Oreochromis niloticus: one gene and its partners. The protein of the gene in region 4 interacts with the protein of the main gene of each other region in a biochemical or structural test. Links are inferred from orthologs where the notes say so. Each region holds a gene or a part of one and is shown on either strand. Other genes may lie near its edges.

Region 1 (8,031 bases), on a different chromosome or scaffold from region 4:
TGTGTGTGTGTGTGTGTGTGTGTTATACATTTAAGGTCATATATTTTGTGGTTTATATAAATTATTTATTGTTTCACCGTATCGTCTTTGCTGTCTTCAGATTTTGATTGTTTGGATTATAGCTTCCATACACGATATCTTATATCTGCATATTATTTTAAGCACATTTGTCATCTTGCGTATATACGTTTTATGTGACATTTAAAAAATAATATCTTGCATTTCCAATCGAAATTATTTTTCCTTTCATTTGGAATTTTCACTGAGGTCAATAAAGTCATTTGTGAGGCCATGGGAATCAGTTTTGTATTTTATATGATGGGTTGGTGATTGAAAGAGACGTCTCTAAGCATCTCTGGTATATATGAGCCTCATACAGCTGTGCATGCTTTGTTTGTACAGATGAATCAAATTAAAAGTAGTCCACATTTAAATGAAGATAAAATAAATCAGTGAATGAGCAACACTGAAGATGGTTTGCTGACTATTTATTTTTACAAGATACACTTAAAAGATAGTTGCCATGACAGCCAAACATCTAATATTAAAATGTTTTAACCATTAATTAATCAACTATTGAACTGATTTTAATTCACTATTATTAAGTCAGCCAGTAAGTAAAATGTATAAAATAAGAGATAAAAATAAAACATACAACAATGTAAAGCAATAGAATAAAACATAAAACAACAAATGAATTAAAAACCTGTTTGTTTAAAAATGGCTTCAGTTGGTTTTTGAAAGAGTCAGTGGAGTCAGTGGGAGTGAATTCCAGGTTCTCTCCCTGAAAGCCCGATCCCCACAAATTTTGAACCGAGTAAGTGTGGCCAGCAGCAGCAGCCTCGTACCTGAAGACCTGATGTTTGAGTATGTCAGAGATAAACTCGGGGGCTGAGACCATGAAGGGCCCAAAAAGTTCAAACTAAAATTTTCTGGCAACCGATGAAGAGAAGCCAAAACTCGAGTATATGTGATTTTCTGTTGGTGCCAGTTTAAAGTTCTGCAGCAGCATTCTGCAGTCTGAAGACCAACCAAACCTGATTTATTAAAATATAGAAAGATAATAATAATAATTATAATTATAATAATCTTTCAGAATAATCAGAAACTTTATTTTATGCTGAATGGTACCAGAAACAGAAGCACCTTTCAAACCTATTCGTTTACTATCAAAAATGATTAGAAGTGGCTTCTAATTGCTGCTGTAAATATTTGGTATTTAAACAGTAAAACTCTCACATGTGCTTTTCTTTATTCAGGTTCCATTCTGCCTTTAAAGAGACTAATAAAGCAAAATAGGATATTTCAAAGAAGACAAAATTGAAGAGCCCTTCTTTGCATTTCTGCTTGAATGTTCTTTTGTTTGACCCTTTATTTAAAAACCTTTAGACTTTGAATAAATTGTCATGCCAGTGATTCCCCGAAGCCTTTTACGGAGGGTTTCAAGGTGAATGGAAGCCACAACCACTAGTCCTTTTACTGACAAATGACTGCGGCCAAGCCCTTTCCTGGCTCGGTGAATTTGAAGGGGGTGGTGGCTTTCACCACAAACTTAATTAGGTTTATTTATTTGGGTAAAATTTACATTCAGGAACCCTGTGCACATCCTTTATAAGGACACGTAAGAAAGGGCAGAATTGTTAAGGAGGGGACGTTAGGACAAAGTTTCGTGAGCAGCTTTGTTTATCGATCTGTGGGGTGCAGGCCATTCAAATGATGGCTGGTCAGGGCTTTGAATACCTTTGAAGGTCATCAAAGTGTCACTGCTCGCGCACAGATAGTTCACATCGAATAAAATTAGTTTTTCAAAAGACTGAAATTTGAAAAATAATCATTAACATTTTTTAATATTTGATATTTATTGCAAATCCTGTTGATTACGTTTCAAAATAATCCTAAAACAGACGAGTTTTGTGCATATTTGTAGGATCTGGTGGATCTTATTTTTTATCTACTGTAAAAAATGAGAAATATAAACTTTCTAATAAACTTTCTAGCACATGCACATTTCTCCTCTTCAGCAGAAGACTGCCAAAAAGTTTTGGGTGTATTAAAACAAAGCCAACAGGGTGTTAAAATAATTTACTTCCCTGAGTGATTCTGAAAGCCTGACAGCACCAGTGTGTAGAAAGAGTCAGCCTGGAAGAAATCCCAGAGAAATATTTTGAATATATTACCATGCTAAAATAGGCTGTAATCGTTATTAATCGTTATTTTAATTCATTTGGATAAGATACACTTCATGTAAATGCAGACAAATTATGAACTGTACTATACAGAAAAAAATAATATCTACTCTGAGTTTAAATAAACATTGTTCAGTAAAAACAGCTTTATCTTCTCATAATGAAAACAAAACACAGTTTCTGATATCAATAGGATGCAAATGGAGCTTTGCTAAACCCGTGCATTATTTGCATGGCTTGCCTTTAAACTCTGCTATTGTCAGACTTACTAAGTTGGTAAATGTAAATGTGTACTGTAGCACTCAATCACTCTGTATTTGGCGTGTTTGTTTAGAGCCCAGGCATGCAGTTCTTCACAGGTGCTTGTGTCAAAGCAGGAGGCCGGCTCACTGAGGCATCCGCTGGTCAGTGTCTCCATCTTGTGTTCACTTGACAAACTGCACAGAGGAGCACTTTCCCTAAGCTGCTTTAATGGTACCACAGCAACAGTGTGCAAACACTGTGGTGTCTAATGCAGTCAGACTGTGTACTGTGACTGACAGCTGACAGTGACATGATCTCTCATATATTGTGGAGTTTTAGAGAAAGTCCATAGAGGCAATGTTGTTGTGATTTGGCACTATGTAAAAAAAATGAACTGAAGGAGTTTTTTTTTAATAAACTACAAAAAGTAACTAACAACATAAAGAGTTCTATGAGATGAAATGTGCAACATCTGCATGTAGTTAGATTTGATTTAATCACTTAATTGATATATTTTAAAGAAGACGATGATTCAAGGAGAGGAGAGCTGTGCTGACTCAGTGCAGCAGTTTTGTCTGATTGTGGAAAGACAAAGACAGCGATGCAGGAAATATCACTGATCATATGTACAAGTGCCACGAGATGATGTATGCTGTGACGTTTAATCTCAGTTTAGGTTTAACAATGTCAACTTACTGTTTATTGGCTTTTATGCTTTTTATCCCTTTCCATATTTTTGCACTTTTAATATACTAGCTGCTCCTCACGGAACCCCCTAAAAGTGTGTAATTTGTTATTTGCTATCAGGAGATTTTTTTATGTTCTGTTGTATGAATTTAAATGATATCTGCATGAAAAGAGGTTGTTTGTTTATATCGTCATTAATGTAGATGTGTATTTATGGTTTTATGGAGGAACAATAGCCAAGTCTAAGACTGATAGCATCGTTTCATTAAATACAAGCAGCAAGAATACAAAGCAAAAAAACATAATCACACTGAAAAGGTACTGATGATACAGCAGGGAGGAGCCTCACCATGACATGGAGTGTTCAGCATAACATTTGCATATTTTTGTTGACCTATGAAATTGAATTACTTAAGATTATAATATGATTTGTTAGTATTAGTGGAATTAATGCTGTGCCCCCCTTCAGACACCCCTCTGCATCCCTTTCTTCACAATTAAACTATAATCTACTCACACTTATATAGTACCTTTCTAGTCTTACTGACCACTTTTAGACTACAAGTCAAATTCTAACCATATATTCATGTAGCACTTTATTCTATACAATTAAAGTACTTTATCTGCCTCACATCCATGCCCTGTTTTGAAGTTGGATTACCCAGAGGAATCCCACCAGGCACAGGGAGAACATGTGAAATCCACAGAGCCGGGATTTGAGCCAAGAACCTTCGTGCTGTGAAGGATGGTGACAGCGGTAACTACTCCATAACCATGCCATGTCACGGTCATATCAACTATCCACATGGTGATTTAATGAAGGACTCTTATTGGTATTTTACTGTGAAATACTGACAGTAAGAAAAAACTACTCATTTATTAGGATCCTTTCAGACAGTTTTCTTTAAAAGAGAATTGACTGACCCACCACTGGCCCAAAGCTCGCCATCCCACGGATGCTACGTTGGATCAGGCCTTCTGTCCATAAAGTTTGCTCTGCGTGCTTTTGAAGCTTCATGTATTAAATGTTAAATATGAATAAAAATTAAATTAAAACTTGAAACAATAAAAAAGTGAGCTTATATTTTCCTGCTGTAGTGAAATAGACTAAGAACATATAAAGGCATACATACGTTACATACATACATATTATACACACAGTGCAGTGCATATATGTGCAGTGTGTATAACTAATTGCTAATTACTCTGATGTTAAACACAATTATAAAAGCAAAGTATTATTTTTTAAGTATTCATTTCTAAAGGCAGGGAGAAGAGCACTGACAGATGCGCACGGACGCCTCTCACAGCATCAAATACGTTATTACAACACAAACCATGAACCGCGCGTTTGTAATAAACTTTTACATGAGCGGGATATTCGTCCAGGCTGCTGCTCTCAAAGTTCCAGCACTGGTTACAGAGCGGACACACGCCCAAAAACAACACGGCAAGAGTGACAGCGATTCAGCCTATCACCGTTTAAGGTAGGTGGGACTTCCGGTGACATTGACAAATCAGTAATGGCGACACAAGAACAACTTAAACATGTCAGCAAAACAACACCGAGGGGGAGTGAACTTATGGACAGCAGTCATATTTTGAAGAAATATTATAAAAATTTCATCTAATTATCTGCAATTTCAATCCAGCGAAAAGGTAAAACGACTAACGGTGGTTCGGTTTTGATGAATACTGAGGTGTAACTACTGTTAGGAACTGCTAACTGCCCAAACTTTCTGACACGGACGCAGTTCGCTGCATGGAAACCAGAGCCAGCTAACGGGCTATGCTAGCTGACGTTAGCAGATGGCTAAGTTACCCAACGATCGAGCAAAGTGGCAGCGAAAAACGGCCGAATTTAGGGCTTTTGTGAAACCACGTGTTTATAAACGCGATACACAAGTTAAATTATGCATCTTTAAATGTTAACGAGGTCATGTCAGGTGCTCGACTTTCATCTTAACTTTGATTTTGTCTGCATATCCGTTATGGCCACCAGTTTTTTGGGGAAGCCATGATCCAATCAGAGTGGGCTCTACAGTTGATCGAGCTAACGTTACTGTAACTGTACAGGGACGGTCGGAAAACAGTGCCGCTGGTCCTCCAACAGCGTTTATCTACGTGGCGCTGATTGTTATGCATGTTTTTTGTTTTTCTTATAGGTGTTTATGACATCGCTGTGTTTTCTAACGGTGCAGATACGTTTTGCAATCACTATGCAGCTCTATAAGTCAGTCATGCTACGGCTGTTGAGACCCTGGAAATTTCTGGCTCATAGTGACACTTGTAAGCAGAACATAACGTCAGACATATGTCAGCTTCTTCTTTCTATATGAAAGAATCCTTTTATGCAGCCTCGGGTTTTATTATTCTCTGTGCAGGAGAGCTTTGCCTTTAACCCTGTGCCCTCCTCAGATTTTGCACCTCTTTCCACACCTTCGTGGACAAAAATGTACACGCACAAAATCTGCCATAAAATCCTCATACAGCAATAATTTTTCCGCGTTTTCATAAATCACCAACTTTAACCTTTTTGAAAATGAGCAAGCGTTAAATGATTTTCAGAATTTTAACCCTTTAAATGCCGGTTTAAACATTGGAACTACTGCATTTTGTTTTTACCCCCCCCATACACACACATACACACACACACACACACACACACACACACACACACACACACACACAAGACGAATTATTTTCCGTATAATTGATAGAATTGGGGATACGGACATGTCAGACATCAGCAACAAGTCTGATTTGAATGGATTTTTTTTTTTGTGTGTGTAGTGCACATGTATAATCATAATCAGCATACTTTATTAATTCCTAGGGAAATTATGTGGGTTACAGTTGCTCCAGTACAGTAACATTAACAAAAAGACTAGACTATTTAACAATACAATATGTTAAGATATAATAAATAAGGAATAATACACACACAATCTGCCATAAAATCCTCATAAAGAAATATTTTTTTCTGTCTTTAATTTTTCATAAATCGCTTAATCAACTGGACTTTCTCTCAAAGCCACACATACATCACATATTCAAAGCCTGGGTATTTCGGTTCATATTTGTTCATATTTCACATGTTCTGTTGTGTTTTCAGTGTTGTTGCAGTTTGCATAATAAATGTTCCCATTGATGAATTAGATGTTGTTTCACACACACATCCATACAAATCACTCTTGGGGCTCCCTGGTGGTCACAGGAATCCATAATACAACTGGCAAAAATACAAGAACTTCATGCATTGGCCTACTGTGGGGAAATGGTTGAATATGGTGAAAAATGTCAAATATCACTGCTTTTCTTCCAAATAAAATGTTGACATTACAGAATGCATGGTTTTATACTGCGATGCAGAGAGATTAAAAAGTGTTGTTTCAGTGGAAGTGAATGAGGCATTTTTGTCCACGAAGGTGTCGAGAAGGATTATCAGGCACTACACAAAAAATAATAATAATGCAATCATGTTTATAATAATAATGCTGCTGATGTTTGACATGCCCAAGACTCTAATCACCACCAATGTCCTATTCCCATACTATTTATGATATGGAAAATATTTAGTTTATTCAATAAATACTTAATAATTCCAATGTTTAAACTGGTATTTAAAGGGTTAAAATCCTGAAAATAATTTAATGTTGAAATTTTGAAAAGGGCTCAAGTTGATCAAGAGGTTCAGAAAGGGTGCAAAATACATAAACAGGGTATGAATGACATGTAAAAGTAAAAGACACTAAATGTCATAAATTTGACTAAATAGAAGATTTCTTGCAAAAATGCATGCCATGAACCAGAACACAGCCAAAACGATCACCATATTAAAAATGCCCGAGGAACGAAAAAGGTTAAAAATGCAGCTTGCATTTCAATTAAAATGAGATTCTTTAGACATAATCTCTAGAAAACACGTGCATTTACACACTCAAAACATGTTATTATTATGTTTAGAGTTTAAAAGCATATGAAATGCTCCAGAAATAAAAGCTTCTACAAAGTATCACTACACCCAAGAAAAGAGTCATGCAATAAAGAGCAGCTTCTTAGGTTATCATAATCAGGTTTAACTGTCACACAGGTGTTGAACTAACTCAGTGGCTGTTTCCGACATTCTTTTATCACATATAAACATGATTGACGTTGTTCACAAACAACAGTTAACATATTAAAATCCATCTTCTGATGGTATGTGCCTCATCTTGTTTTCATGGAATTAAAATCACATCAGTCTTGTTCTCATTTTCCTCCTCTAGCTGTCTGGTACCTTCACAGGTATTCAGTAGATGTCCGGCCCCTCAGAGACATCAGGTGGTATGTCGCATCCTGGCCCTTCACCTGGGGCGGGTATGTCCCCAGGGCCCATCTTGGGCCCCAGCCCTGGACCAGATCCCTCACCGAGCTCTGTTCACAGCATGATGGGCCCCAGCCCTGGACCCGGAACACCCAATGCACCTCATGGCATGCAGGGCCAGGGACAAAGTGATTACTCTCAGGACAGCATGTATTCTATGCATAAGGTACAGTCTGCTACAAACTATGTCGTGATGTCATTACTGCCATTGAAGTAGATATTTATATCACTCTAATGGATTCAGTTTTTTTAACATTTCGCTTTGCTCACTAATAAACTGACCAAACTAAAACAAGGAAAGGAGGAAAAATTGGGAAGAAATGAAATATTTTATTTATCCATTTTAGTATCAAATAAATATATATTAGCTTAGTGAGGGTATACGGCATTTCTGCTGTCTGATAAATTGTTACAGACATAAATAGTAAGTGTGAATTTTTGCAGTACTTTTATAATCTTTTTATACTCTTGAGTTCATGCAGTGGACTTTTGTCGTGGTATTTTTAAAGATTTTGGCAGTTTCGCAGTAGAATTACTGATGTTACTTCT
Region 2 (8,933 bases), on a different chromosome or scaffold from region 4:
GCAAATCAGCACGGCACATATTGACATGCTTTGACAGATGAATTAAGTAAATGATTTTATAAGGAGATTAAAAGGATTTTAATTTACGCAATCTCTCTTTGGTCCCCCTGTCCCTCCCTCCAGTCAGCTTTACCTCTCTTTCTCTCTCTCTCTCTTTGCTGCATATCCCCCTTTATAGGCTGAAAAATAAGGTCCAGCGACTAAGATTAAGGAAAAGAAAAAGATGGGAAAAAACCATTAAATGCTCTTTATTGTCTAATCAAAAGCAAGCCATATTTTCTCTTTATTCTGAATAACTAAACATATGTATATTTTGCTGTCGCACATTTAAACAACAAACGGTCAAAGCGTCAGACGGTTGGCCTTCGAGTTAGATTTTTTCTCAATTGAATTTCTTTCTCAGTTTCATATAAAGTAGTTTGCCATATTAGGAAATCAGGAAAAGTACATCTCTGTATGATGGCCAATGCACTTTTCCAAACGTGAACTAAAACAGTGGCATTTGTCGCAGCAGAACAAGAAGCAACACGACATTACGTGTGAAAATTTGATGCCTGAATTATATTATATATACTAGTGTAAGTAAAAAAAAAAGTTTGTTTTTCTGTCACATCTAAATTTAGTCTGATGAACTACTTCAACAATGTTTAACCTGAAACAGATTTTTATTTTTATTTTTTTTTACTCACAATCACAAATAATTTCTTTCGTCTACATTTTCATGTATTTAAAAAGAATTAAATCCAGACACATCAGATTGGAGAATAATTCCTAATCAAATCATTTGTGCTCCCTTGTGCTTCTCTTCATTACTGCACTACAAAACCTTTGCCTGACTGATCGGCCACTGTGCAGTTCTCACCACCCGTCCGTTCTCCCTCACACCCACTGTTAAAAACACCAAAATCACTAAAGTCACTGTGGGAAATATATTTTAATGATATGCAAATGTTATGTATATGGTGGCATGAGGGGAATGCAATTATGTTAACAGCTTAAGTGGTACTTGTTGTTATTATTATCAGTATGATCATCATTATCCCTAATATTTTAATTAGTATAGGAAAGCAGTGCCTTAGAGCAAAGAAGGGAAAGCCTGAGCCGAGAACAGAGAACGGTGGATGGATGGATCGATGGATGGATGAATGGATGTGTGAAGGAGCGGACGGACAGATGACGGGACCAGAGGGCTCTCTAGAAAACGTTTGAGTGGCAACAGCTTACGTACACTTGCTGAATCACACGCAGGTAAAGCAGAGACATCTCATGCTATATGTCTATCAGGAAAGTGTGTTTTTCAGTGAGCATATTGATGCTTGATGTCTAAACACACTTTTCACACTTCTTGTCCACTAAGGAGCAAATCCAGTTCAGAAGTTTTTGAAAAATTTGAATTCTTTGTCTTATTCTGAAAAAACAAAAACAAAAAAAATCAAGACTCTTACACCTGAGCCGTTACAGGTCCTTAAAATCCACCCCACTGTTTTGCAGTTGAAGGACCAACGTAGAGAAAGCTTGTTCAGATGCAATCCACAGGGTTAAAACCTTCAGATTTTGCTTTGCTGGAAATTCAGTTATTCCCTCTAAAAAGGGAACTGAAATGACTGATATTCTCAGACTCTCTAAAAGCTTGATTGGTCATACCGCAACGATAATAAAATAATCATTTAAAAAAATCCTGCACATACATTTTAATTTGTGCTCTTTAAGCATTTACTTGCTCAGAAGGGGCAATTTCTCATATTTGCTTAAATGACATTTTAATTCAAACAGACTGAAAGTTAAAAGACAAATTTTTAAATTAAAAATATAATAAAATAATATTTTAATGTAAAGTAGTGGTACAGTTTATCTCCGTTTATTCTTTTAAAAATGCCTCTATATTCAACATGCTTTACGAGTGAGTGGGGCATGTGTGCTTTAAAACACAAATGATTAGAAAGACTGAAAGCAAATGAAAAATTGCCTATTTCCATCAAAAATGTTACGAATACCATTTTGGGAAATATTACAGTACAACATTTTGCATGAGCTTCTGCTCTGACTTTGTTCTTTCAGCTTTCCCACTTCCGACTCTCTACCGTAAAAAAACACTTAAACTGTGGCTTTGATTTAGTGTCACTCATTCAAATTTAGTTCTAAGTGGAAATGGGTTTAATCTAAGCATGTGTTTTAAATCTATACATATATATTTATAGATATATATATGACCATAAAATCTTTGCTTCATTTATGAGCTTTTCAAATTCGAAAAGATGAATGCCAATAATTTTATACATACAGACAAAAAAGGTCTGTTCGGCTACTGAATCACACACGCACAGTGTCGGAGGAATGTTTTTATCTTGTCCTGTTTAAGAAAAGAATTAAGCAAATACTGCTATGCTTTAATCATTTGTTTGTTGGCTCAAATTTTGTTTTTTAAATAATTGTGCACACAATAATCTAATCAAGCAAACTGCTGTCCACTCTGCCAATCACTTAATCTGCATTTTGCACATACATCTAAAAGAGCAAAGCATTGGCGAAAGGAGCAGCTCAGCAGCACTCGTGTGTTTGTGTGTGTGTGTGTGTGAGTGTGAGAGAGAGTGTGTGTGACTGTCTCTAATTCCTGAGCGGGGCCACACGCTGAGCTGCCCGTCTGAAATTCTACCTCCTCTGGCATTTAAGAGCGCAGCTCTCCCCCTTTTCTCTCTCCCTCCTCTCTTATGGGCCCTTTCCTACACGTTGCTCCTGTAACCTTAATGCCCTGTTATCTCGCGGATTCTCTGCTCGGATGAACACATACTTAAACCACACATGCATAAGCATAAACACATGCACAGGTACACGCATGCAGACATGTAGTGAGAAAGTTTGTCCCAAGAACAGTCTGACTTCAAGTAAAGTGGTTGTTGAAAACAGCGAAAGTGAAAATGGAGTAAACAATGTGTGTTTGCAGGCAGGTGTGTTTGTGCGTATGTCTCACTTTCAGGTGAAGGGACAGAAATTTTGCTCCTCTGCCCACTAAGTAAGAGCTGCTGTCCGGATACTGCAGCCACACACACACACACACACACACACACACACACACACAAAGACAAGAGTGAACGCGTGCTACCTGACAGCAGAAACAACCTTGACACGGTGCCGGCCACCTCCGCTGCATACCAGCACATACACTCACTCACTGACTCACACAGTCACTTACAGTGGAAGACAATGGCAATGACAAGTTGGATGATCAATAAAAGGATAAGAGTAAAAGGTAAAATTTACCTACTCTTGTTCAGAGTGCATTAAAAAACACTCGGATAACGGGTGTCCTACCGAATCCATCGGCGATACCGGGTCATTGTCATGTCAACCTCCTCAGGGTAAATGGCAAGAAATTAAACACAAAAAAAAAAATGGAAGTTTTTTTTTTATATCTCTCCTCTCTCTTCTTTTCTCTTCTTTCTCTGATCTTCTTCTCTTTCGGTCCTTCCTTCCACTTGGAGTGAGCAATACAATTACCGGGCTCTGCGCTGCCTGGACTGATCAGCTCTGCGTGTGTGCGTAGAAGTGAGGGAGCATGTGTATGCAGTGTGTATGTGAGAGTGAGAGAGAGGGGGCTATAGGCACACACACAGCCAGCTAGTCAGGCAGTTGGGACAGAAAGCTGTGCTGCTGTCCTAATCAACGACTTAAAGCCCCGATAGCGGCTCATGAATATTAAGCAGCATTTTGCATATGTAGTCCCTCAGGTCCCAGTTGTGCTGTGATTGGTGGGTGCTTCACCAATAGCTGCAGGGAGGGGCGGAGAAAGGGGTGGAGAAAATATGGGAGAGCGAGAGAGAGGGAGAAGAGCAGGTGGAGAGGGAGGGATCAGACAAAGAGCACGGAGGAAAAGAGAGAATGAGGGAATCAGGAAGGAAAGGAGGAAGCAGAGAGGAGAACGAGACAGGTGCGAGAAAGGTTTAAAGCAAGACAACCTGCTCTCCTTTTTACTGTATTTCTTTCTCTCTTTATCAATCCATCTTTCTGACCTTTCTTCACTGGTCTCTCACTACCCTGGTCACTCCTGCTCACTCCTGCTCTCTGCATGTACCTGCATTGGTAAAATTACATTCTCACATAAACTGCAATATTAAAAACTGACAATATATTTATTTCTAACAATGTAAAAAAAAGTTTTAACCAAAATCCTTTCAAATAAGGTCTGAACCACATGAGTAACACCATGTTATTAGGATCTTTTAAGGACCCCAATATTGATTTGTGCTCAAATGGAAAACACAAAACTGACCTAATCAAATCCAGAGAAATGCAAGATCAAATAAACAAGTGTATGCTTGACCATGAACCCAAAGCCTGAATACTGTGTCACACCGTAAACACACAGGCACAGCGCAGCAGAACCCATCGCGGCCCAGCAGTAAAATATGAGATTATAGCAATTCCAGAGCGCTTGTCCTTTGTTGTGGAATGATTTGGGCATGATTGGAACAAGGTTTTCCCTGCTGCTTGCTGTTTTGTCAAGTTCACTTTCATCTCTATACCAGGAGGCTGTGTATTCCCAGTATTTCCGAGCACCTTGGAATGTGAGCATAGGTACTGCGACTGGGATTCTCCAGGAAAAATTAGCTCACCGCTTCTCAGTTTTAGAGCAAGGAGGAGACAGCGGAAAAGAGAAAAGGGAATGCAAGGAGAGCGGGAAGGGCCTTGTAAAAAGGGGAAAAATCGGAACCCTGTAGGGACACTCTGAATGATACACGCACTCTTTCTGTCCTCTTTCCTTTCTTTTTAACTAACGTCTTCCTCCTTTTGATTAGACTTTTTCAACACTTGGGTACCCCTGCACATGGGATGGCGGGGGAGAGAGAAGTGTGGAGTATAGAGGGAGACAGAGAATGGAATCGGAGGGGGTGGAGGAGGTGGAGGTGGTGGTGGTGTTGTTGGGGGTGGGGGGGGTGGTGCAAAGATGAAAGAGAGTGGTTGTGATTAGCAGCTTTGGAATAGTACAGATAATAAAATATTTCCTGAAACCAATCTCAGCTTTGATGTACATGTGTGTGTATGTGTGTGTAACTGCTGCCTTTTCTTTCCCTGTTTTTCTTTGACAAACACAGAGTCCAATGTTCAACATTTCAACTGCTTAACAGAAAAACTGTTACTAAAACATTGAGGTTAGCGCACTAAATATTCTTCATATTCTTCTTAGTGTAGCGTAGGATATGTGTATTGGTTTTGCTGATAAAGCACTCTAGCTCTAACTCTTACTCTAGCTGCATGGAGAACTCAGTACCTGTTAGCCATAGTACTGTTCAGTTAAATGCCATTTTAAAGGTAATATGATTATAGCTTAATACATGTGTGTGACGTGGAGAATTTTTTGACATTGTGGTGCTGAAAGACCCTGTGAAACTGAGCTTAACTGCCTTCACATGGGCACAATCAGGGTCTTTACAAGAATAAATACATATTTAGAAGTTGTTTCGGAAGCCGACAAAGTAAAGATCCAGAGACCACATACGAAAACAAACACACTCATTGTCACAGACTACTTGCACAGATGTACCTTTGCCATTTACACAGAAGGATAGGAATTCAAATACATGTCTTTACAGATATATAGCTGTTAGGTTTGTGTACACACATACACATGCAGGCATACAAACATACACACAGTTATGATGTATCCAGAGGCTTATAAGCATCGACAAAGATGAGTGTGAATCAATGCTGCCGTCACTACTGTGCAAACAAATCCTTTACCAAAACCTCAGTGTCTAACACACTCGTGCATACACAAGTACACACACACACACACACACACACACACACACACACACACACACACACACACAATCTCTGTTTCAGTGCAGAAAGTCCAAAATGTTCTGCCTAACACATTTATTTAAAATAAGAACTACAAATCATACATTGAATTAAACAATTAGAAGCCTAAACGTCTGTGGGTTGTAACATATCAACGAATGGCTATATAAATATTTGAAGAACAGTGTTTTGACGCACACAGAAATCATTAATATTTGTCTAAGATGAACTGGTTGCGTTTATGGAGGCGTAATTTTTAGTTAGTTTATGTTACAAAATATTCAATGATTCTTTAATTTATGCAGTTTGTGTTGAAAGTGATTTCTACTGACTGATAATTTAAGCACAAGCAGCAATGTGGTAAAACATAAGAACGCAGTCTAAGAATCAGCTTTCACTGTGCATGTGTGGTGAGTGATGCCTTACAAAGCTTTGCCTTTTATGTAAATACAGAAAAAAATGTTATGGTGAGACAATAACATCATGTCATGCACACAACGCCACAAACAGAGCTGTATTCCTTAAAATCCATCAACCAGTGCACACACATAACAGCCGTTACTTTTTCTGTCTTTCTGCCTCACTCCTCTTTTCCTTCTCTGACCCCTATCCTCCCCACCCCCATAGACTATTGATTGACTCTCAGTCAGTGTGTGTATGTTGACAGTGACCCCTTTAGGCCACTTTTCTCTATAACTGGACAAACCATAAACATCTTAAATGCAAACCTTTAACTCAAAAAGCCAAGGAGAGACCTTGAGCATCCACGATGTGTGCATATGTGACTGCTGGGTAACAGACAATATTTCCATGCACAATGCTGCAGAAATATAACTGCAAATAACAACATAAAAACAAAAAATATGCAACTCAGTCAAAGCACAGTGTAAAAATAGCATTTTATCATAATTAATAATTGTATGCATGTGTAAATGGCCTTGCTGGCATCATTTTAAAAGTTCATTTACAATGTAAAACCTATTGAGCTCTGTAACTGCTGGCATCTCATTCTTCTCTTGTCTGCCAGTGTGTGTAAATCTGTGTGTGGGTGTGTGTGTTTTGACCCTGCGGTGGCAGCCTGTTGACATCTATGGAAGAATTATCCATTGCAACTCTCGCTGACATCAATCACACTACTCAATAGGCCACAGCAAGTTCATTCAGAGCCCTGTATTGTGAGCGGTTGTATGTGTGTCTTTGCTGGTCAAAACAATCTTTAACAAATTCAAGACGCGGCCACTTAGGAAGCTGACCCCAGGCCACCCATCGACACATGTGCCAGTCATGAACAAAGTACTAGACTGAGGCAACAACTGCAAACAAAGTACTTTCAACAATAATAAAACAGAGCATTTGTTCTTGATAATTAAAGAACATTTCCTTTTTTTTATAAACATTTACGCATTTAAGGTAGGTTTAAGTAAGTACTACGAGCAGGACAAACATTTGACATTTTAATGTTAAAATGAGGACTAAAAAGCTAAGCTGTACCAAAAGTGAAATGAAGCAATTTGGAAATTTCACACATTACTGAACTTTGCTTTTGTAGAAAAGAGGGGGTGAGGCAGACGGAGAGAGTGAGAGTAAGAAATTGCACTTCACTTCAAGCCAACAGAGGGAGCTATGGACTCTGGTCAGTTTACAGCCAACAGCAGCACAAAGACTCACAACTCGTGTGTCCATGGCTGTTTGTAGGAATGTAACTAAAAATATGCAAGATTAAGTCACAATATCATTCATTGTGAAAGCCAACAAAAATAAACAAAAATACATAAAAGAACACCATCTCTCAAAAACACACACATAATACAAAGCTACACCACCAACAGGATCAGGGGAGATGGAGCTAAGTTATCTGATAGCTTTGTCAGCAGGTACAGCAGAACACAGTGTGGATATGGACAATTTGAACAAAGACCCCTGCCTGCTCCTCCAACCTGAACCCAGAGAGAGAGCTAAAGGCAGGGAGCAATGAAGAGTGAGAAGGAGACAGGGAGAAAAACAGAGCAAGAGAAGCCAATAGGAAAAAGCGAGAGATCTGTAGACTTGAAAAGACATCTCTGTCACTAACGTGACTGATGGCTGTAATAGCAATGAAAGGGTTTGAAGTCACAAGGTGTTATTAGATAAACACTGAGTTTAAGCTGCAGTTCATTTCAGGCTGTGTGAGTGTAAAACAGCAAAGGAAAAAACTTGCCCTCTGGGCTATATATTTTATGTATTATATATTACAGGATATAATCCACTAGGATAATCAGAAAATAAAATACTGTAGTAGTCATAAAGAATTATTTTTTTTAAAAAGGAGTGATGAATATATTTGGAATTATTCATACAAAATAAATATCTAAAAAATGTTTTTTAAATATTTAAAAATGACTTCTATGATCGAGTCGTGTCATAGCAGCAATGTTTGTCTATGTAAACTAAATGGGCCCTAATTACTATGCTACATCCTACTTCCTGCATTGCACTTAACCTCAAATTAGTCATAACAGAGTTAACCAACTACAAATGTCTTAACTTTAAAGAGATTTCCTTACTACAGTAATGTAATAATATCAGCTCCTCACAAGGGCAGCAGAGAAGGCAGTTCAAGTATTGGGTGTTAACTTTACAACCGACATGTTCAGACCAAGTGAGTTTGACTGAGTTTTGGATTTCCAATGAGGTGGAACTATTTGGTTTGGTCAAATAATCAACATTTTACAGGCCTACATCAACACTCCCACATAGCAGCCACATGCTGGCAAAACGAATAATTTGATGAAAACTAATTACCTGACGAACTGAGTGAACTTTTCAAAAGTCATCGTTTTGGTTGCTAAATCATTTTGTGTGTTAAGGGAAGGAGCAGTGATGGCGATCGAGGCCAAGGAGAGAGCACCAGCTGCTGGGGAAAGCTGCTGGGTTTAGGGAGCTTTCTGGAGCCTGTCACCAAAAGCCTGTCTGGGTAACCTTTGGAGAAGGGTACATGAAAGTTACAAACACACACATGCACACACATGCATAAAACACACTAAAGCTTATACAACCACACCAGCGTAGTGAAGTGCCATTGCAACGCATACTACATATACAGTACAGCTGTGTGTGGAAGTGTTCAGGCAGTTTCAAGAACGCAAACACAAAAG
Region 3 (8,654 bases), on a different chromosome or scaffold from region 4:
GGGTCCCACATTCACTAGTCACGCTCTTAGGAAGTTTACAGTATATCACACACTGGATTTTGAAATGTATTCGCACTGAAAATCTATACTGAGATACATTGTGTAATTTTTTGCTATGTCCTTTTTCTCTCAGCATATATATTTATTTTCCTTTAGATGAAAAATACTAAGGCATCCACAAAAGTCTCCCTAACAAATCTACAATGCCAGAAGGCTTACTGTATATCAAAACATTGCAGAACTTTATATCTTACACAGTCAGAACAATATTTACATTTTATGAACACTTTAAAGTAGAAAAATGATCATTTGCCAGTAGCATCACATAAATTTAAGCGAGCGAGGTGTGAATTAATGATGTCTTGTGGTGTTTTATTTAAGAGGCACTGGGTTGAATTTTCTCTTGTGAGCCAGCAGATGGCACTGTGTATATGTGGAAGTGCTGTCAGTTGTGTACTTGTCATTTCTCAAGATCAGCATTTTATCATTTTTATTACACTATTAAAGAATACCTTCCATATAAAAATACCTTACACATCTCTAAAGATGTCTCTAAAAATATTACTTATACATACAGACGTGTGTAAAAACACATATTAATGACACTTTAAAAAAAAAAGTTCTTTGTCATATTTTCCTCATCCTGTTCTTCTTTCATATCCTGCCTTTAATGTCACGCTTTTGTCACACTTTAAGAAGGCGAGTGGTGGAAGGGCCCTTTTCACATGTGCCACTTTAGCCTTTAACATAAACCACAATACTTTTGCGTGAAACGGAACTTTTGTTTTCCTCTCTGTTGTGTAAAGAGGCAGACAGTGTGTTTACTGTATGCAGCATAAAAAATCTGACATAATCAGATGCTTCATCTACATCACAAAGGGTTTCAAGGTAACATCAAGTTTAAACAATTTTTTAAAATTAGAAAAAAGAACCAGTTCTTCAACAAAGTCTGGGAGCGCTTATAACATGACACACACGTGTACAAACAGACACACTTTATATACAGTGTGTGCAGTCAGGACAGAGGAAACACACTTTGCTTTTGGCTCTTGGTCCATGGGGCAACCAGTCAACAGAGATCTGTGGGAACGTCTCCATCACGTTGCTCAAAGGGACATTTATGTGGGCGGCTAACGCACCAAGCAAGCCTATACTAGCCAAATCCTGTTTGTCTTGGTGCTCATCCCAACCTGCTGGAGGGAGAGATGGGAGATTAAATGTTATAATCTAAAGATTTAGTTCATTTGTCATCCCATACATAAGAGCATGGAGGGACAAATCAAGCCAGTTTGTCCGATTTCTTCTGCCGTAACGTTAACTGTGAGGGTTTCAATTTCCTCACTAAAAGCCACATTGATTTTGAGCAGCTTGCACCCCTCGTAAGCCTGAAAAATGACAAGTCTTTTTCACTTTATAATAATCATGACAGCGTAGGAGAGCCCTGTTAAGATACACAAGTACTTTCATGATGAACATTTTCAGATACCAGAGCTCGAGTCTGCAGGGATTCGACTGTATAAACAATCAGAAATTATTGCTTTGCTTTGTTTGTAACAGCCAAACTCTCAGGGGTGTCATTTTTTTTTATCTCTGCAAAAAAAGAAAGAAATTCTGCATGGGGAGGATGTTATGCATGTGAGACAGAGTGAGAGAATGTGTGTGTGTGTGTGTGTGTGTGTGTGTGTGTGTGTGTGTGTGTGTGTGTGTGTGTGTAAATAACCAAAGTGTAGCAGCTGTCTCAGTCCACCATACTGAGTTATAATAGATCAAAGGCAGCTAAACTGAAGCTCACTGTTGCACTCACAGGGTAGCAAAATTAACAGCTGCATTTACCTGCGTTTTGAAACTGTTTTGTTTTTTTTGGGGGGTTTTTTTAGAATTGATTGCAGTGTTGAGCAGTGAGTGGCAGGGCTTAACATCAGTTGCGTTGAATTGCTTCAAAAACAGGTTGAAACGTCTGCTCACACAAATTCTACCTTGATGTTTGAGAAGTAACACCGTCAGGTATCTGTTCACACGTTTGCTTTAGTTTGGTTTTGACACAAATCCCACTACAATTTTTGGACTTGTTACATTTTTATTGAAAGACCTTCTAAGAATTCTAGCATATGCTATAGATTCATATTTATTTGTTGCAATCACAGTGACACGACGACGGTCTCTATTGCAAACCAAAGATTACAGTTTGCTAAAATAACTTCCTGAAAAACCATGAATGCAAACCAGGACATGTAGTTGTGCACATGCTGTTTCAACGTCATAGACAGCCACCTCAAAGCGAGCAGCCCCAACAGGTCAGACTCTGGTCAAATGACCAAAAAAAGGGGGAAGGCAGCTTTATTCCTTTGTGTGTGTGTTTTCTACAGGCCTCTTTGTACTTGTTGGGCTATTGTACATTTCAGCACTGGTAAAAGTTTAAAACAAAATCTAATATGTGTGTTTGTTCATGGATTTTGTTTAGCGAGCAGTACTCATGCAATGGCACATTTCAGTCTGAACACCCACCTGCACCGTGAGTGCTGAGATGCTTCATTCGTAATCTTAAGAATAGCTCCTTCAGTCTGTGGTAAGCAGGGTATTTACAGCAGTTCAACATCCGATATGTAGTCAGATATAACAAAATGTGATTTCAAGATAAGAGCATTAAAAAACACGAACCACATCTGCTTTCAGTCAGCAGTGTAAAAAAATTAAAAGTAGCCCTTAGATTCTGTCATGTCTGGTTTTCAGTTAAAAACAGAGCGAGCTTTTTGTTGAGGTTAGTCAAAGATCCTTAAATCTACAACAAAGTCTAAAAAGATGCAGCACGTAGGCAAATTTACTATTCATTGTGCACCTGTTTTTGCACTGAGTCTCAGCAGGCTAGCTGACTGTCCGGATGGAGTTTCATGAACTAAGTGATGCAGCAGAGTAAAATTTCAGCTTCAGTAAACACATGAGAGGGTCGACAGGATGTTATCTGCTAAACGACACTCGCAGGATTTCCTAGTGAACTAGATGACTTAATTGCACAGTCAAATGATCACCCTGTTGTCTTTCAGCAGGTGAATTCAGTCCTGTCTTCTAAGACCAAAGACTGCGATGTCAGAAATATGACTGTAATCAGCCCGATAGTCATCACTGGTAAACTAAGTGACTAAGAGGGGGGGGGCCCGACAGGCAGCAACAAAACAAGCAACCACTTACTGTCAAGTGACTGCATATTAAAGGAACAATTGACTATTATTGGGGAATGGACTTAATATCGAAAGTTAAATTAGTTGGTTAACAGCTTAGTACAGCTGCTACTTATGAAGTAGTTACAAATTAGCTTTCAGATTTGATGTACACAAGACGTCAGCTTAGAAAACACGTTGCACTGTTTTCGATTAAGCTACCGACCAGTACTCTAAATAAAACGAGCCCCACCTTTAAAAAACTACATCAACAAACCCGTGCTTACACGTGAATGCATCAGTATTAGTGATCCAATAATATCAAACAAGACTAATCCAAGCTATGACGTCTCAATGTGCGCCTTTTTTTCTCCATAATGAAACCTGTCAAAGTTTAAGTATATATAATTGAGTAATGGATTATTTTTATAACTATGCTAGTGAATCACGACATATGACTTACATTAAACTGAATTGAATTTTTCTTGCCACGTTCAACTGGTTATCTTAGTAAAAATAAATAAATAAAAATAAATGTAAAAAAAAAACAAACTTACCAAATAAAGTGTAACCTTACTTGCTTAATCTGCAAAACCAGTATCTAAAAGCCGAACTACTTCTTGGAGGGGAACAATACTTTAAAGAGACTCACTTGTTCCATACACAGTTCCCGGAAAAAAAAAATAGCGTGACACATAGCAGGTAAATGATATACGAATGCAGTTTACTATTGGTGCATCTAAGTTAGAGCAGCTTTTCACAAGTGGTAAGCGGATTTTATTAGTTTTTAACCATACCAAAAGGTGATTTTTTTTCTTTTCTTTTAGCAGTCTTTGGTCTAAGGTAATCCACTGAGCTCTTGACTACTGTTAAAATTATATCAAACTATCTTAACTACCTGCAAGTTAAGTGAATATGTGCTTTGCTGAAGAGGTGGAACTATTCCTTTAAGTTATTTGTTCCACATGGCTAAACACCTAAGAAACAACACTTTTAGGTCTGAATTTTACATTACCTGTTTCTCCCATATGGGGCAAACAACTGAGAAAATCCACTATAATGGGTAATTTGATGCCTCTGCCTGTGTCCTCACGATCCCGATCGGTTGTGTTGAGAGGAGGGAGGAGAGAGAGCGAGAGAGAGGCAGGCTGACACGACCACAGCTGCTGCTGCTGCTGCTTGAGCAGAAAACCGCACAGCAAACACGCCGGACCTCTTTGACGCCGCGCTCCGGTGCGCACGGTGCGGACGCCACGGTTTGTTTGGGTTTTCCGTTGTTTGTTTGGGGTTTTTTTTCGAGTTTTGAAAGAAATTAACAACATCGAAAATAAAAGACAAACCATCCAGCTTCAGAAACAGAGAGTGTGCGCTGTCTCCTCTGCGCCTCAACACACCGATCAGGTCAGTCACCTTCCGGTCGGCACAGTATGCTGCGCTGAGTGTTGCGGTTGTTAGGCTGGGTGAGAAAATACGGGAAAGCACCGTAAAAAAGGGGGGGGGGGTGTATTTAAATTATTGAAGACTGGGTTAATATTACACTGTTGCAGTCTCATCTGATATTAAATATTCGTGCACGTTAACCAAAAAAGACAAAAGAAAACATGTTTGCGGTGATTTGGTTCAAAAGTAGTTTAAACAAGTAGATTCAAGCTGGAGACTTGTTGATTTATCCAGCTGTGTCTAAATCAGTATTGTCCCCGGTCTACATGTTAAGGTGGACACGCACAGGTAGCCTACAGTGTGACAGGATGGCTGTGGCACACAGATTGGGGGTGGCAATGACGGGGGGAGGAGGGGCGGGGGGCGGCCACAGGACTGACAACTGACACAAAGTCAGGTGTTGAGCCATAGTGTGCCTGAGGGCCATAGTGTGAGTGTGAGCTTGACATGCAAACACCAGGCAGAGATTTTACCCATCAAACTGACCACAGCTTCTCAGGTGAGTGCGAGGAATGCTTTGTTTGTTTCTGTGTATGTCGTGCTGAGAAACTTTGTAGAATAAGCATTTCATAAGCATTTATCTGAGTAAAAGAGGCTTTTTACAGGGCCTGTACAGTACATATGTGTATGTGTACTTCTCTGAAGTCTATACCTTTTGTGTCATACGTGGAATTTGTGGATATGTCGCACACGCTTCAGGCAGTTCTGTGTTCTTGGAATTGACAGGAAAATAATGGTGGTGACTCAGCAATATTGTTGACTGGAGCTCAGACTTAAACACTCGTTTCTCTTTGAGGCTTGCTGCGCGGCTCTGTGATAGATGATGTGAACTGTTAAACGTCTCGGTGGTATTCTTTTAAGACTCAGTAATGACACACGGTGAGAAAACTTGTAAGAGCCCCGTGTAAAGCGTAAGAGTGTCACAATAAGTTCACCTGTTTTCCTCATCGCTTTGTATGATCTTCATGTCAGTCGTCTCATAACACTGTGGGGTTGCTGGAAGAACATTCAGAGATATTTTATAACAGCAACAATCACTATTTTATCCATTATATCCTTCAAATCACAACTTTTCGTTCAAAACTTAGTTTGCTATTTACATGCACAAGGGCATTTCAGACATTTTTCATGTGTTTGGTCTGTTTACTTTCCTCTGAGTCTATTAGATGTTACATTTAACATCACAGCAGGCTTATTGTCACAGTATGTTGACCCTCAAAACCAAAAATTGGGAATCAATTGAAGGCAAATGTAAAAACAGCTCCCCAAGTGAGTAAGTACATGTCAGTGGTAGTAAATGAGCTGAAGCAGTCATGTTTTATCATAATATTCAGCAAAGATAAAGATAGTGGAAAATCAGCAGCAATATATTTTTAACAATTAAGTCAGAAAGTCAGAGAAACAGTGTCGACAAAACGGGAGTTATTTTATTTAAATATAGTAGTAGTACATTTTTAAGGGTGATCTCAAGTAACAGATCCTGTGAATTATTAGACATTTAGCAGAATGATCTCACAGATTAAACGGCCATGCAACGTGACCCTTGATGTAATACGGCTATTTTAAAATCAGAGAACTTCTGATAAAATTGTGGGTGAGAAATAAGAGAAGTTATAAAAAGGTTATTGTTTTGTTTTTTTCATTTTGTTGAAGTGATTTCATGTAAGTTTGGTAATACTGTTTGAAAAAGACTTTTTTGTTAACTTTTTGAATCTTTTGTTTCGCTGTGTCTGATTCAAATATTTGTGTCTAAAATCTCCAGGAACTCTTATCAGTTAGAGAAATATATCATATCTTTGGTGAAATTAGCCTTTAATCTCTGCATACGCTGCTTAAAATCTGACTACCCAATTGAGTGTGTTGATACATCATCAATCAGTGCCTTATTGCCTGTCGGGTTATATAACTGCAGAAGTGAGGTGTGTGTGTGTGTGTGTGTGTGTGTATGGGTGTTGGTGTGTGTGAGAGAATGACTGTGATAGATTTGGACTTTGCTTAGTTGCCATAAATGAAAGGAGTGCCTCAAGATACCATGCTATGTTTTTGTTGTCCATCACACGTGCTGAAAGTCTTGTTTGACTTTTCGTAGATGATATACTTCTGCACAAAGCCACAGATACAAAGTTCAGCCTCTTAAAAACACCTCCGCACAGACAATTGCCTTAGTTCTTGAAAATCTGTGTTAATTTAAAATCTATGATGAGAGAGTTGCCGCTCCTCTATGCAGCGGTTTTAAAATGTTGCAAAACTTCATTAAGAGCCAAGCATAATCACTGCATGAAAGGAAAGAAGACAGTCTGCGCATTTGTGTCTGCATAAAATCCATATAAAAGTGAATGGCACGTTCCTATACAGCCCACAGATAATTAACCACTTTTGTTTCTACACCACCAACACTTTGGTTTGTTTACTATATATCAGATTAACTTATTCTTACTGTGTTTTTCAAAAGCGCATGTTTGATTTACTTTTATCTGATGACATGCGTATTTGACGCAGTTTAGCCTTAAGGTCATGTATTTGTTTTTTCAATTGGGTGTAATTATTAACTTCAAGGCCAATCATTTCACCATTTACTGTATGTTTAAAGCAACATTTTGGCTGCGGAATTCTACTGACCGCCGAAATATGGGACACAAGCAGGTTATTTACAAATGAAAAATTCTGCTTTACTAGTTAAACTTTTATGTCTGGATCTCCCTTTCTTTAAACCAGTGTCCCCTCCTCTTTACTGTAAAATTTGTGTCTATACTGATTTTATTTGTACTGATGAGCATTATGATTTACTTGATTTTTAGCCCATTTTTGCAGGGTCGTATTTTTGCATTATTGTATATTTGGAGCTGATCAACATCAACTGTACATTTGGGAAATGTAAAAACGTCCCTCTGCTTAACATTTCACTATTTCTTAGACTGAATCAGAAGATTGAGTCTGAGGTTTAGCATGCTGAATGTGTTAGATGTGGGTTTTTTAATCAATGCAAATTGAGTCGACAGAACCTTTGGCAAGGTAAACTTTTTTGCAACCACAGCACCTGTTATCACTCTCGCAATGATTCCTAAATCACAACAACACCTGCTCCCTGAGAAGTGACTCATGTTTCTCATTTCTTTACATGCTGTCCTAAATAAATCTGTGTTTGTGTGGGAAGAGAACATGTTTTAGCTGCCAAGTGTAAACATGATGCCTTTCAGGTATTTCTCTTCTGATGCCCGCTTAAAATTGCCTCCTAAATTTTAGACTGTGAACATGAGGAATCACGTTTTCCTGGGGCTCATATTAAAGCCCTAATAAAGGCCCTAATTTTTATTAGAGATCTGTTTACTATTGTTTACTATTGGTATTGTCACGGATTAATCTACTGATTGTTATTAATTTAGAGTTCTCTGCAAAAAATGTAGGCATTTTATCCTGAATAATGAGAAACGATTTATTGAGCGTTAAACTTACCCCTGCTCAAGCATGTTAATCTGTTATCAACTTTCACGTGCTTGAAAACGAAGAGACGATATGTCTGGAACACAGTGGTGTTATCTGACATACATCATAGAGGTAGCGAACAAGTGAACTATTGCTTTGCAATAATCGTAGAGCCTTTTAACAAAAGTAATTTTGGTGAAAAGATACACAAGTACAATTTTACCCGGACTTCCGAAAGTTTGGAGTAACTTCCTGGTTCAGCTTTGATCAAACTCATACTGGATGGAATTACCGTGACGTCACCTGTTTATTTTTAAAGTCCCTATTTGAGGCTTCGAGATAAGCATTTTCACCGCTGCCATCTTGGTATTTTGAAACCGGATGCAATGAGAGCTGGTTCTGACTGTGAAACCGCATGCCTTTTCTCTAATGGCGGTCGATCCCAAGTCATTAGACAATGAGCATTCCGCATATATTCCTCATTTCTGAAATACAGCATGGTCAATTTTGTTTTTAATGATTTTTTATTTAATATTTATATTAAATGAAATGAGTTCTTGAGTCGCTAAGCTAAATGCTTCCAGAGGTCAAGTTTATAAGTCGTTTTCCCATAGGCTTCAATTACAAGTATCCCCC
Region 4 (7,222 bases):
TTGGTGTAGCTTTATTTTCCTGTTCTTAGCGGACAGAAGTGGCACTCAGTGTGGTCTTCTGCTTCTGCTGCTTGTAGCCCATCAGCTTCAAGGTTTGGCATATTTTGCTATCAGAAAAGCTCTTCTGCACAGCTTGGCTGTAATAACTGATTATTTGACTTGCTGTTGCCTTCCTATCAGATCGAACCAGTCTGGTCATTCTCCTCTGACCTTTGCTATCAACGGGACATTTTCACACAGAGAACTGAGATATTCTCTGTAAACGCTTTTTTTCTTCTTCTGTTTTTTGGCTTCATTAAGGTCTTTATTTGTTAAAGCAGTGCAAAGTTCTTTTGTATTCCTATCATTTTAATGTGTTCAGATACTATTTGTTTTTCTGTAATACAGTTATCTAAACCTATTTTCAATAAAGTCTTCTAGCTGTTAAATTATTTTAAATCAAAAAGCAATCATGTTAAATGTAACATGTAAAACATTTCCTGACATTTTAATGCAGAGGTTGTTTAGGTAAAAATGACTTGACAAGCATTTTTCTTGAGGAGGCATCTGGTTGAAATGCTAGGCTCGCTACTTCCTGGATCAAAGAAGAAATACTACCATAAAAAAAAGTTTTCTACTTCATTCCAATGTTTGTTTAAAGACCACCAAAATCATCCTTTTACTCCCATTTTCAAGGTATTTGCTTTTTAAGAGCTCTGGCAACAACAAGAATTTAATGTGTACATGCTGTCCTGCACATATCACTGATGGGCCTGCCAATGAAGTGCAGGGGTCAAATGTTCAAACCAGACTGTCACTATCAGATGTTCCAGCTGGTACATATATAACAAACTCAATGTTTGATTTGGCTTCCCTTTTCAGGTGACTGACACACAATTTCACTCTTCATTCGTGTAAAAAAAATAGATTTATTTGAAAACCTTTGTAAATGCAAACAATAATTATTTACAACAGAGAGCTCCCGTCATGAGATCAAGCAAACATATGGACAGTAGGTACACTCTGTCCTAATGTAGAAAGTCAAATCCAGTTCAATTGGACGAAATCGTGTCAGACTGGGCTACAGTGACCTCGGCATCATTTTCAGTGTAAGCAATTCATAACCCCATCTTCAACAATTCACAGTTTTTGTTTTCTTTGAGTTTTTTTTTTAATAGTAAATGTGTTTTAGAGCAGCCCACCATCAGGCATTCCTTCATTTCACAAAGACGGAAAAGCTCTAAAATCCACCGCTCCTATCTGCAGAAGAGCATGTCGACCAGCAGCTCCAGCAGGTTCGCCTGTCCTATCACAGGCCGGAAGAAGAGTTCAGTGATGAGGCTGGGGGTGATGCTCTGCAGCATGGAGGCTGTGAGGAGGATTCGAGCAAAGCGGTCCCCGTCCCCCGGGTGGAGGAGCTGAACCACCTTGCTTAAGGCCTGCTGAGCTTCCTGTTGCAAGCCTTCCACAAACAGGGCTGCCTTCAAATCTGGTACGTCTGTTGGTGGAAAAACAAAACAAAACTGTAAAGTTACATGAATGCTTAATATTGGACACCGTTATTAAACCACCGAACACTGACCAGAGAAAGCTGAAGCTGAACACATCGAATATGTACCTGGATTAAATATCGTGGTCCCTTTGAGGTATGCGTACTCCTTGGGGCTCAAATCCAAACTCCAAAACTTTTTGAGGCAAGACACGAGTTTGCTGACACCGGCCATAGTGGGCTGCTCCCTTTCCACCTCGGGGCTCTCGGGTCTGTTCAGGAGGATCTTTTTCAGCATGCTGTCAGTGGGGATGTCCGTCACCTCGAAGTCCACACGCTCTTGGGCCAGACCCAGAATGAAGAGTGGCGCCCAGCAGCTTTTCAGAAGGGCGAACTGGTCGTTTGGAGGCAGCTGGTTAAAGGCGGGCAAGTTTTTCATGAAATTTAGGGTTTTTACCAGAACCGCCGAAGCTTCTTTGCAAATCTCCGACGGCCTTTTCAAGCACACTGTCCGTCGTGCCTCACATTTGCATCTGTGAGGCACTGAATTGTAGCTGAAGTTGCCTTGGCTCAGTCTGCTGCCATCCATTTGGCTCAGGATGTTGTACAGGATAGGATTTGAAGTCCTATCACTGCTGGTTGAACAACGACACGCGCTGTCCATTTTAACCGAGTCACAGATTGTGTAGGCAGTTAAATGAATCCTCTGGCAGGATGGGCTCTTCACGAGCTTGTGAGCACAGCTGCTGCTGCTGCTTGGAGTCTCCCTCTATTTATAAGGCCAGCCCAACCTGCTTCAGTGGACCTTGACTTGTCAATATGCTCCATATGAAAAACAACTGTGTGCTCTGCCAGGTGACTGGAACAACCCTGGGAAACTGATAAGCTTTTCTCAATGAAAAGGAGCTGCTGAAGTAACGTCTGGCTATCAAGAGGGCTGGGTCTTATCTTGTAACCGGTGTCATTAACCCAGGCAGTACCAAGCTACCAAGGACTGCAAAAAGTAATCAGCCCCACAGTGAGCCCCTGCTTGCTGCCAGCTCACACCTGTAATACTGGAAACAGGCCAAAGTAGACTTGGGTCACTGACCTGCGAGATAACTTCAAATAAAGTGTTTCATGTTTTTTTTTTTCCCAAATAAAAGAGTAAAATCCCAGAACAGAGCTGGAATTTTAAAACTCTAATTTAGTGGAAACTGGTTGTAAACAGCCACCTTGATGTTATTGTCTTTACCTGACAATATAAAGCGCCTTGAGGCAACTGTTGCTGCGATCTGGCACTATATAAATAAAACTGAATTATTTGGCAAGGAATCTTGACTTTTAAACAAGCTGAGTTATTACTATTTATATTGTGATTTTAACCAGAGGAAGCTTTATATAAGAGAACTGTAATTCAGCCTCCTCCAGCTCACAAGGGTTGAAAGGTTGGACACATATTTGAGAAAGCAGACATTTATTTTCACTGCCACATTGCAATGTAAAGACTACAAGCATGCAGTTAAAACACAAATTCTGCACAAACCTGTGAAGAAGAGCTAGAAAACCTTCTTGTGTACCACAGGACAGCCTTGAATATGGTTCTATTTATGGTACAGAAATAGCGTTTCAGCACTATCACACACTGGTAAATGGACTGTTACTTGCATAGATCAGTTGAAATCAAATTCAAACTGCTTTCTACAGTCTCACACATCCACACAGCACTTTTATCTGTGCCTAAAACACACGCTCACACTCTGATGGATACATCAGGGGGGACTCAGGATTCAGCATACCACCCAGGAGTACTTTGACACCCAGACTGGTGAATCCGCAGCTGCCCAGTGGTATTTATTGTATTTCATGTTTTGTATTTGTAACGGATGTTCCAATGAAAACACCGACACCACTAAAAGTCCAGATCGCTGGCAGTCTCGAGAATCCCTCCCTCCTGTAAAGATTAATCTGCAGTTTGGGAACAGGCAGAGATAACTGGTTAGTGGATCACAGGTCAAGCTTTGTGTAACACGGGGACTTACTATTAAAGCAGGGTCAGGTGATTATGATGATTCTGAGGCGACTGGACTGGGTGTGTGGCCGTTTATCTATTAGCTGGAGAATCCACAGCATCTGTACAAAATGACCGCTGAGATATTTCAGTCTGCACCCAAGAAGTAGACTGCACCGTACCTGCAGCCCTCCAGCTCTGACCCGTCCACTCAATAAAAAAACAAAAAACTAATGTGTGAGAAACTGCTCTATTGACACAACTGCTACACACATTTTTTTTCTCCCACCACCCCTCAAAAAATATTTTTTACAATTAAACACAAAACCACCTGCATAAAACTGTTATTTATTATTTATTATTGGTTTTGCTTTTGTGAGTTTTACGAATTTGGGGGTTTTGGTTTATTATCTGAAGCTTAAGTGTTTCGTTTTTTCAGATGTATGTAGGGATTTACTTAAAATTGACCTTGGAAGTTATTCATTTTTAGGGCAAATCTGGAACCAGGAATTTTTAGAAGTGTTCTTTATCATTGTGAGATGGGATAAAATTGGAAATTGTGTGTCTTATATCTTCACAAATACACACACAAATATTTAAAAAATGTTCTCAAGTCAATATAAAAGAAATCCAGATCAGTCTGGGTCGAACTCCTGTGTACTGTGAAGGGAATTTCCAGCCCTGGCTGTGTGTGCAGACTTTACGGCGATTGCCCTGATACGTGCTGTACTACTGTACTGCGAAAAAAATATCTAGTAAACATTTGTACTGGCCATGGCAAATTATTGTACTCATGAGGTTGATCTTACTTCAGTCTGTGACATTCTTATATCTCTTTATATATCAAACTAACTTTTATGAATTTTCTTTTCAAGTTTATGAAACTTGAAAGGAGCACAACAAAATCCTGTACGTGGAGTTCATGACGTCCGTAACATGTCGTACACTTTTCCACTTGTCATTTAAATGCATTTATCCTATTTTGTTATCTTCCCCGTACCTGGCACCGAGGTTTGGGGCTGATAAGAAAATGATTTTATTATCATAAGAAATAAACAAACAACCCAATGTGGAAGACCTCTGGTTTGAACATCCAGTGCCATGAACTATAGACAGTAAAACATTTATGATAGTCAGTGATCCCGGGTGCCACCATATATGATGTACCATCCTCGTTATTTATTGTTATTTAGTGACACATTTGCCAAAAAGCCTGACAAGCCCAGAAGCTTGAAACTGGAAGTTTAAGAGGAAGATCTGAACTGCAGGGTACCTGTGTCAAGGTCAGTTCATAAAGTGAATGACCGTAATAAAGAGATTACACACCAGACACAACTGGCAGCACCAGTCACCGAATATTTGTTTTACGTTATCAATGCCTTTACTCATTCCTTGAAAGAATACATGAAAAATGTTTAACAGCCCTGTTTTTTTTTTCACAGGGTGATCTCATTATGATGGACAGTATCATATCAATCATATGGGACACGATGTCTGTACTCACAGAAGCCTAATCGAAGTGGACCGCAGCTTCAAAACATGATAAGACGCATGGGTTATCTTCCCTTCAGGAAAGTGACCTATACTTCACTCAGCAGCCCTCAGGCTTCATCAAGCATGCTGACAGTTGTAAATGCTTGTGATAAGGCCCGTGTTTATAGAGGTTTGGAGCAGGCACAGACGGGCACGGAGGACAGACGCTTATCTCTGCCAGGACAGTAAAACGAAAACGTCCTTCATACTATAAGTAGAACAACCACTGTGTTCGGAGTAAAGGGAAGCAAGATGGTGATGAAGTATGATGTAATAGACAGGAGCTGGAGACTGTTTTCCTAATATCTTCAAAATTCATGCACCTTAAAAGAATTTATTAGGTGACTTTACTGTAATTGCATTATTGGATTTGTGGGATATGTGTCAACAAGTAGCTCAGACTCATCTTCACAGACTGAGTGCCTGAACTTCCACTGCTTCCAGTTTTTTCAGGCCACTGAACGCTCCGTGCTACCACGTGGGTGCATGATGGACGTCATGTGTTGAACATGACTTTTGGCCTTGACCCACTGCTAATACAGCGGAGGTTCATTTGCCTGGTTCCATTTTAATAAGGTCATCAACCCAAAGATGATTCACACAGGGTGGCCTCATGGGAACATGTACTCAGGAGAAGAAAAAAAACAGAATCACTAAATTAAAACTCAGATTGAAATTGCATTTATATACACATAGAACCTCAATTGCAGTGAAATAAAAGAACAACCAAAAAAAAGACATTTAAATGAAAGAATTATTAAATGAAGTAGTAAATGGTCTATCATTCCCCTTTTTGAGCTCTTTAATTTTAAGAATAAACTTTAAAATAAACATCCTCTTTTCAAATGATGCCGAGTTTTTCGGCAGTGACTGTTCAAGAATGTGCCCCAGTGAGCAAAAAAATCACATTTTACATGGTTGTAAACTTAACAAGGTTCCAAGTCGAGCTTCACCATGCAACAAGAAGAAATAGCAGTGAGACAAAATATTTTTTTGAGCATGCAATTTATTGAAAACAATGCTTAAACTGAAACAGGCTGTTTTACAGCTGATCAAATGTTTAGGACCACACTTCCACAAAACCCATAACAGAAATCAAAGTTCCAAACATGGACTCAGTAATGAGTAGCTCCACTGTTATTGTTGATCACTTCAGAAATTTGTTGCAGCGTGCTTGATGCAAGCGTTTTCATTAGGTGAGTGGGAACATTTCTCCAAGTAGTGGAGACGGCCACATGAAGGGCATCTACTGTCTGGAACTGTTGTCCATTTTTGTAAACTTCCCTTGTCATCCATCCCCAAAGGTTCTCATTTGGAATTAGATCAGGGGAACACGCAGGATGGTCCAAAAGAGTGATGTTATTCTCCTGGAAGACGTCCCTTGTCCCGTGGGCATTGTGTACTGTAGTGTTGTCCTGTTGAAACGCTCAGTCGTTACCACACAGACGAAGGCCCTCAGTCATGAGGGATGCTCTCTGCAACATCTGGACATAGCCAGCGGCCGTTTGACACCCCTGCACCTCCTGAAGCTCCATCGTTATACTGAAGAAAAAGGATCCCAGACCATTATGGTGCCCCCTCCACATGACGTGTAGAAAGAATCTCAGGTGGGATCTGCTTGTCACGCCAGTAACGTTGGAAACCATCGGGACCACCAAGGTTAAATTTATTCTCATCAGAGAATAAAACTTTCTTCCACCTTTCCATGTCCCGTGTTTGGTGCTCTCTTGTCTGAACGGTCAGTTCTGTGGTGTTCAAGGAGACGAGGCCTTTGAAGACGTTTTTTGTCTTTGAAGCCCTTCAGTCTCAGATTCCGTCTGATGGTTATGGGGCTGCAGTCGGCACCAGTAGCCACCTTAATTTGGGTTTAGGATCGTCCAATGTCCTGACAGCCAATTGGATCCTCCGGCTCAGTGCTCGATGAAATTATGGGTCTTCCACTTGACTTTTTTGTTCCATAACCCTCAGGATCATTTAAGAAATTCCAAATGACTGTCTTACTGCATCCCACCTCAGCAGTGATGGCGTGCTGCGAGAGACCCTGCTTATGCAGCTCAACAACCCGACCACGTTCAAAAAGAGAAAGTTTTTTTGCCTTTGCCATCAGAACATCATGACAGTGTGACTACCTGACAGAAAATGTCAATAAATCCACATTTTTGCACAGATTTGGCCTTTTAAAGGCATGTGGTCCCAAACTTTTGATCAGCTATGAAACAGCCTGTTTCAGT

What was found.
Region 1: the proteins of nr0b2a (region 4) and smarca2 form a complex in vitro, tested with the Homo sapiens proteins (2 studies listed by BioGRID). The link is inferred for Oreochromis niloticus from reciprocal best matches to the Homo sapiens genes NR0B2 and SMARCA2.
Region 2: the proteins of nr0b2a (region 4) and esrrga form a complex in vitro, tested with the Homo sapiens proteins (2 studies listed by BioGRID). The link is inferred for Oreochromis niloticus from reciprocal best matches to the Homo sapiens genes NR0B2 and ESRRG.
Region 3: the proteins of nr0b2a (region 4) and pparg form a complex in vitro, tested with the Homo sapiens proteins (2 studies listed by BioGRID, with this or other methods). The link is inferred for Oreochromis niloticus from reciprocal best matches to the Homo sapiens genes NR0B2 and PPARG.

Annotation. Positions count from the first base shown.
Region 1 is NC_031977.2:35,623,249-35,631,279, reverse strand, and holds the start of smarca2 (putative global transcription activator SNF2L2), read left to right. Parts: upstream 1-4,621; 5' UTR 4,622-4,775; intron 4,776-7,384; 5' UTR 7,385-7,414; coding exon 7,415-7,648; intron 7,649-8,031. UniProt on the Homo sapiens protein: ATPase involved in transcriptional activation and repression of select genes by chromatin remodeling (alteration of DNA-nucleosome topology).
Region 2 is NC_031965.2:26,539,621-26,548,553, forward strand, and holds the start of esrrga (estrogen-related receptor gamma a), read right to left. Parts: upstream 3,644-8,933; 5' UTR 3,319-3,643; coding exon 3,263-3,318; exon of another isoform or gene 3,259-3,262; intron 1-3,258. UniProt on the Homo sapiens protein: Orphan receptor that acts as a transcription activator in the absence of bound ligand. Binds specifically to an estrogen response element and activates reporter genes controlled by estrogen response elements.
Region 3 is NC_031970.2:18,928,914-18,937,567, reverse strand, and holds the start of pparg (peroxisome proliferator-activated receptor gamma), read left to right. Parts: upstream 1-5,013; 5' UTR 5,014-5,042; coding exon of another isoform or gene 5,043-5,094; intron 5,095-8,654. UniProt on the Homo sapiens protein: Nuclear receptor that binds peroxisome proliferators such as hypolipidemic drugs and fatty acids.
Region 4 is NC_031976.2:7,492,431-7,499,652, reverse strand, and holds nr0b2a (nuclear receptor subfamily 0 group B member 2), read right to left. Parts: upstream 2,217-7,222; 5' UTR 2,133-2,216; coding exon 1,598-2,132; intron 1,478-1,597; coding exon 1,236-1,477; 3' UTR 891-1,235; downstream 1-890. UniProt on the Homo sapiens protein: Transcriptional regulator that acts as a negative regulator of receptor-dependent signaling pathways. Specifically inhibits transactivation of the nuclear receptor with which it interacts.